Linked DNA regions of Danio rerio. The protein of the gene in region 1 interacts with the protein of each later gene in a pairwise test. Links are inferred from orthologs where the notes say so. Each region holds a gene or a part of one and is shown in the gene's direction. Other genes may lie near its edges.

What was found. The genes of interacting proteins can lie anywhere in the genome.
Region 2: the proteins of ccnh (region 1) and znrd2 interact in binary tests that used the Homo sapiens proteins (3 or more experiments, as listed by UniProt). The two-hybrid records come from large-scale screens. The link is inferred for Danio rerio from reciprocal best matches to the Homo sapiens genes CCNH and ZNRD2.

What each region holds. Positions count from the first base shown.
Region 1 is NC_133180.1:52,024,819-52,028,318, reverse strand, and holds part of ccnh (cyclin-H), read left to right. Parts: intron 1-1,761; coding exon 1,762-1,832; intron 1,833-3,382; coding exon 3,383-3,485; intron 3,486-3,500. UniProt on the Homo sapiens protein: Regulates CDK7, the catalytic subunit of the CDK-activating kinase (CAK) enzymatic complex. CAK activates the cyclin-associated kinases CDK1, CDK2, CDK4 and CDK6 by threonine phosphorylation.
Region 2 is NC_133185.1:31,775,179-31,779,398, forward strand, and holds the start of znrd2 (protein ZNRD2), read left to right. Parts: upstream 1-1,420; 5' UTR 1,421-1,489; coding exon 1,490-1,505; intron 1,506-3,153; coding exon 3,154-3,305; intron 3,306-4,220. UniProt on the Homo sapiens protein: Might play a role in mitosis. Antigenic molecule. Could be a centromere-associated protein. May induce anti-centromere antibodies.

The sequences.
Region 1 (3,500 bases):
CAACATTATTAGACCCCTTAGTTTTGATTGGCTAAAGAACAAACCTGTGTTGTACGATGACTTTCATCAAGGTGTCTGCAGCGTCTTATAAAGTATTAAAAATTGATAAACCATTTAAGAGAAATTTAAGGTCCTAAAAAAGTATTAAAACATTTTAAAAGCTATTTTACATTGTCTTAAAATTTAGATTATACAATGTAGTTGTATGATAATTTTGCCTTTAATCTGCCAACTCTGGGGTGCTGTGTGGTTTATGAAATCGATAAAATCCTGCTAGATTTAACATCACATTGATTTGTTTACTGTAGTAACTAAGGCAACGCCGTTATTCCTGCTGTTCTATTGTAAAGTTGCTTTAAGGCAAGTCACTTTAAAAAGCCTCTCGGGCAGTATGCTCAGGCATTTTTTTTGAAAATTCTCCAAAATTGCTTGTCATGCTTACGATTAAATTTCGTATTAAGAATCACCAATAAAATTGAACAATTAAACAACAACAACTACAGAAAATCTACAGAAACTCTCTTCTGGTCCAAGCCATCATGCAATCATCAGTCTTCATCATCAGATTGATCAGTCTAATAGCGATCTGATTGACTCCTGTACTAGAAAGTGGGGCTTTATTCATTATATTGACGTTACACTTTTTTCCCCATTCAAAACTGTACGATTGTGTTTTTTAATAGTTTTTGTCTATAGGGGCCACCCGCTGGATTAGCATTTATATTCATTATACTGTATAAATAATCTTTCTTAAAATCAGAATTGAGTAAATATACTTTAAGTTAAAATGTTGCCAATGTTCCTGGTTGAAACCTAAAGTGGTGATAAGGACTTAAGATATATGGAAAGTGTCTTAAAAAAGGTTCTAAAAGGAATTAAATTTCACTCTCTGATTCCTGTTTATACACTGTTCATAATTACCCTAACTATTCAAATTAAGTCTTTAAATCACACTTTAAGCTCCATATTTATATCTTGTAAAATATCATGTACTGTCATCACAGCAAGGACGCAATCAGTGTTTAAAAATGTGTTGAAAATATTCCCTCCATTAAACAGCACTTTATTCATTGAATTTCTTTTCAGCTTAGTCTCTTAATTAATCTGGGGTCGCCACAGCGGAATAAACGGCCAACTTATCCAGCATGTTTTACGCAGTGGATGCCCTTCCAGTTGCAACCCATTACTGGGAAACACCCAAACACTCTAATTGTATCGCATATCTTTGAACTTGTGGGGGAAACTGCAGCACCTGCAGGAAACCCATGCAAACGCAGAGAGAACATGCAAACTACATACAGGAACGCCAGATGACCCAGCCGAGGCTCGAACCAGTGACCTTCTTGCTGTGAGGCAACAGCACTGCCTACTGTGCCACCGCATCGCTACAGCACTATTTTTATATTATTATAAAAATATTTGAAAATAAAATTTCAGGGGAGGGCTAATCATTTTGCTTTCAACTGTATGACCATGTTTTTACAAGGTGTGTTTTAGTTCATACAAGTATGATAATTATTAAAAGGTGAAAAACCACCATCATCCCTTTTCTTGTCAGTCAAAAATGACATAGGGTTGAATTAGGGTTGTACTGTTTTTAATGTAAATGAACAGTTTTATTAAAAAACACAGAAGTGTTTGACTAATTACTGTAATTATATAATGTAATGAATACTGGAATTTGTATTGTGTAAAAAAAAAAAAAAAAAAGCTACATTGAACATTTTCTTAATATAGCATCGTTTTCTTTGACATTTACAGATATTTAAATGAATGTATGGGGCTTAAGGAGGATAAAGAGACCCTCTCAAAGATGTATGAGTCAATGAGACGTAAGTAACTTTCTCTTTCTTAAGGTTAATAACACTAAACATGGCTACAAAACCTTCACCCCCTCAGATTTTCAGTGGTTAAACATGATAATAAGGTTCAGGGTAATATGTATAATAAGCAGTGGTGTAAAGTAACAAATTACAAATACTCAAAATAACTGTAATTGAGTAGTCTTTCTCAGGAATTGTAATTTACTAAGTAGTTTTAAATTGTTTTGTTTTACGTTCCCTATAGTATAGTTTTATTCAGTATCGGTACTTTATTCCTCTACTTTCCTTCAATCTGCAGTCACTACTTTATTGTTTCTTGTCTATGGGGATTAGAAAAATCAGTCCTGTGATTCCATGTGCGATTTGATTGGACAGAGGGGTAAATTGCATCTTAATGAACTACCTCAAGACATGTGCTATTTATAATTGCAGCAAACTGTTTGGAAGTATTAAGTGTCCAAGAAGATGTCCAAAATCTTTACACGCAATGACCCAGAGACTGTTTAGATGCATGTCACTAATAGGAAGATGACATGCTTACTGTATGATGACCAAAATGGCCTTAAAACACACAGCAAGCACAAGGCATTAACATGGTGTTAGACTGACATTGTACCTCAACGTCGTGGCGTGAGGACATTGCGTTTAACTTAACATCAGGCCGATGTCTGTGTACAACCTAAATCAACCAAATAACAACATCATTTGACATTTGTTAAGGCTGATTTAAAATAATGATGTGCTTAGACACTGGTTAATCATTGAATTTTTGTCACCTAACATCACAACCTAAATCTAACCTGATTTCTTGTAGCGTTATGTGGCTGCTGGGCAATAACTAAATGCACTACAGAATGCCAAGTTTACACAAATTGCATGTAAATGCATCAGCCGTTTACAGGGTAATACTCACTACTCGAGTACTTTTGATATGTCTACTTTTAACTCATACTTTGAGTAATATTTTCAACAGATACTTTAACTCGCACTACATTTGTAAGCAAGTAATGGCATCTTTACTTAAGTATGATTTTTTTTTTTTAGTAGAGAAATATTAATGATGGTTTAATATGTTGTGTGTTTTTTATTACACTGCACAAACCAGAATTATGACTGAACCATAAAAAATATTTAGTATAATAAAACAGAGCTACTTGCATAAAACAATCCTATTTATAATTGCATTTGAAAATTGTCCTGGATATCCTTCCATAAAACTACTTGTTGCCAAAATGGTGGTAATTTGCACCTGCTAGGACAATTATTGTCATCAAGTAAGTTAATTTACTATTGTTGCATTTATAATATAAGTCAGTGTTTCTCAACCACGTTCCTGGAAACCACTAACACTGCATGTTTTGGATGTCTCTATTGTTACCATCATTACAGGTTTTTCAGCCTCTGCTATTTGAGCTGATGATCTGAATCAGGTTTGTTTGGTTAAGGAGACATATGAAGAATGTGCAGAGTTGGTGGTCCTCCGGGAACATGGTTGAAACACTGATATAAGTGACACTGTTGTATCACATGGATAATTCTTAATATGTTTTTCACTGTAGGAATGACAAGTCTTGTTAAAGCGTACGAGCTTCCCAAAGCTGAGGAAGTCAGTATCTGCAAACAGAAACTGGAAAGGATTTATGCTGAGTTTGCTACAAACCTGTGAGTATTTGTGGA
Region 2 (4,220 bases), on another chromosome or scaffold:
GGTTGTGGCTGGAAGGGCATCTGCTGCGTAAAACACACTGGAATAGTTGACAGTTCATTCCGCTGTGGCGACCCCTGATAAATACAGGGATTAAGCCGAAGGAAAGTGAATGAAGGAACATTATCAGTTTTGAAGTCTCCAACCTTAATCCCTCTAGTGCTGTTCAAATTTGCATGAACGTTTGTGCTAATACCTTTGAAACTGTAAGAACTAATAAAAATGTAATTATTGTCTCCTCTAATTTCTTGGCTTCAAAGCATAGTTCACCTAAAAATGAGAAGTCTGTCATCATTTACTCTCCCTTCACTTGTTTAAACCTGTTTAATATGAGAAATTGCAATGATTTGTGTAGTAAGACACTATGGAATTTGCTTGCTGTGGAAGTCAATGGCTACGGGTTTTTAGTTTTCTTCAAAATTACTTATTTTGTTGTCAAGAAACTCAGAAAGGTTTATAACCACTTGAGGATAAGTAAATACTAAATAGTGAGGACAATTAGATTTTTGCAACGAATTAAGAAAAGTTATCATTCGTCATATGTTTTCAGTCATTTTGTATTTTTCCATTAATAAACCCTCTTCTGTGGGCTCATAAGGTAGTGAAGTGTCCATCATGTGCGAACTTCTTAGTATTCTCATCTGTCAACTGGTTTGGGTGTAATACTATAGCACACATACCGTTTTTCACATACGGTAATATAGCTGACAAAGCTAATGCTATTTGTCCACAACTGTTGTGTGTTAACCATAACCAGTGATGATTTGCACAGTTTGAGCCCTGATGAAAATCCCAAACTTTACTTTTTCTCACCATAAGACTGTGTGAACTACACATTTCCAAACCATGCTGGCAACACCAACACCTGAGGCTGTATCTTTGCAAGACTGACAACGCCACACTACACTAGTTTGGTAACAGCATCACCTATTGGTCAAAGTAAACTATGAAATCAAAGTGATTTTCTTTATTCACATTAACTATGTATTAATTAGGCTAATATTAACCTGATGCAGTGATGGTAATGTTTAAAAATAAATTATAGAGTTGTGCAGAAGGAGTGATTTTATTGTTTAGGAGCCTTTTGAATTTTTTTCAAAATCCACTTTCATTATAAAATGTTATTTTCTGCATTGTTAAGACCCCAGATGTCTAGGGCTAGAGAGAGGCGTAACTGCATATTATCAGTTAAACAAATCAAGCAGGTAGTTAGAATATTTAGTTGACTGGAAACCAAGAGATAGTGAAGAACATTCTTTATTTTCCAGCATAAACTATGTATTTTTTTATGTGTCTAAATCCAGATTTTTTTTTCCGAACGAAACAAATAATCCTGAGATTTTCAGAATGAAGGGGAAAAAACTGAGCAATAGGACCTACATTCAGCTCGCTAGATGGCGCCAGTCAGTTTTCATAGCACCTTCCACATTTCACCGCTGAAGTTTCGAGCAGGAAACGTTATCTGTGTTGTGAGGCGGCTGATGAAGAAAGCATGGCCCTTAACGCAGGTAAAATGTCAATAAACTCACATTTAGACAAATCTCTTGTTAAACTCCCCAATTTAGTACCGAAATAACCCTTAATCACTAACCTCCAGTCGTGCTATAGTAACGTTAGTACACGTGCAGCTGCGCTAAAATAACATCATGTTACGTTAGCAGGTTAGCCCCTCACTGTCTGCATTTCTGTACTGGCATGTGGCTTTTATTTCATTTAAAATATCGAGCTTTCTCTGTGTCTTTGCCTATTATTGACTCGTAAAGTTCCACGTACAGGAATCGCACGGGTGCTGAAAATACTTTAAATGCTGGAATTTTACTCTTGTGTTTCAAGGTTTAAAATGTACTTAGATTATGGATAAAGTACTTTAAAATGCGATTGTTCCTTTCATAATAATTTATCTTACTAAGCTGGTAATAATAGTATGAATAAATTAATTATAATAAAGATATGTAAATGGATGACAGCATAACTAAATGTTGGGGTTGGATCAAACCTGCTATCACATATTTTCCTTTTATTAAAGCTAAAAAAATAAAATTAAAAACGAAATTTTTCACATAGTATATTAATTATACTATAATTTACTGTACTATACTCTAGAATAGCTTCTGATATAATGTGATGAAGTGTTTTTTTTTTTTTTTTGCATATAGCACAAATTTAATTAACAACTACAGAACAGAGCACAAATAATAATCAAATCAATAAGATTATAATATAAATAAATACAACTTTAAACAGAATAGACACACAAACACATTCAAAAAAGAACTACCTGGTCGTCTATTAATTAAAATGTTTTCAATAAACTGAACTTCCTAATTTTGATTTTACCAACTTTAAAGCTTTACAGTATAACCAAAATTCCTTTTGGAAAACCCAAAACAGTGGTTTTGTTTTCAGGCACTTGCATTTATGAACATAAAATTTCTCCAAAATTAGAATATTGTTCAATACAACTTGAATATTAATATCTTCCCCTAATAAACCAAAGATAATATCATTTTTAGAAAATTGGGAGGACATCTTGAGAGAAACTTTTAACCACTCAAATGAATTTGTCTAGAAGGTTCTGCTGTATAAACAGTCAAAAATAAATATACAGTCTCTGCAGATGGTTAAATATCATTGAATATTTTAAAGTGTACTTCTTTAGCTTTGAGGAGGTATGGGGAAGGAAAGGAACATATTCCCTAATTCGATAATAGAGCTTATTATCTGAATACACTCTGAATAAAATCTTCTCCATTCATCAGCAAATAAGGTACGTCATTTTTATTGGGGGCCACAGTACTAACCATTATTACAAATGCCTTCAGAATAGATTTCAATACCCTATTGAATTGCTTATGATCACATTCAAAGTTATATTTTTCACAAAAATTTCCAGTAACTCAGAACCTCACCCTCTTTGTTTAATAGATGGACACTCAACCAAATACCTCTCTCCCACCAATCTTTATAGAAAGGATTTTTTTCTAAATATAATTAATGTGATGAGGTGTGCAGACGTATGTAAATATGTAATTTTCCACACTTTATAAAGTACTGAAAAAGTTTTAAAACACCTGGAAAGTGCTTAAGTGGGTGTGTGAATTAAATGAGCATTCGTCCATAAACAAGAGCATTCTGTGTGTGTTTTCCTGAATCCAGATGATGAAGACTTTGAATGGGAGCCTCCCTCTGAAGCAGAGATGAAGGTGATTCAGGCTCGCCGGGAGCGGCAGGATAAGATCAGCAAGCTGATGGGAGACTATCTGCTGAAGGGGTACAAGATGCTGGGCGAGTGCTGTGAGCTGTGCGGGGTGAGAGAAAACACCATACACTCATAGGAGACTCCAATCAAATCTGTGTTTTATTTAGTGCAATACAAGCTAGAGCCTTAATTTAATTATTAAATATGCAGTGAGGTACTGTGTTGTTAAGTTGTAGCCATGTTTGAATATTAAAACTTGCGATAATGACAAAAGATGACGTGCAATATTTTCAGTTCAGAATGTCTGAAAGTTTAATAATGTTTTTAATTAGTTTAGTTTATTTATTTACAAAGCGTAATAAAAAAAAAATTTTTAAGTTGTTGACCATTGTGCTGTACAAACCTAAAAGCAAATGATCAAAAATAGACAGCAACAAGTAAAACAACATAGAATACATCCAACATACCACACAGCATCATAGATACATAACAAGCGACCAGATAGGTACAATAGGATTAATTTTCTCCCAATTTAAAAGCTATTTCAAGGAGGTGTAGTTTAAGTTTCCCTCTGAACAAAGATTCAATAGAAACTTTTCTAATGGACGAAGGTAGCCTGTTCCACACTTTAGGACTTACTACAGAGAAAGCTCAATCTTCTTTTTTTATTCAATTTGGATCTGGGAACTACTAGCATTTTCTGGTTCGATGACCTTAAACATATGGCAGATATTTGAACTAATAAGATTAGAGAGATAAGTCAGAGCCTGGCCTTTTAATACCTTAAAAACAGACATTAAAATTTTAAACTCAATTCTAGGTCACAATTTAGGAAACACGGGATAGGAGTAATGTGTTCAAACCTGCGTGTACCAGTAAGAAGCCTTTTAAAAAGCCTTTCACTTTGGCTGATAATCTCAGCTGAAAAAAACCAAGATTTAACTACTGCATCTACCTGTGTGTCAAATAAGAGGACAGAATCTAGGATAAAACTTTGATTTCTTAAAGATGGTTTAATGCAGTC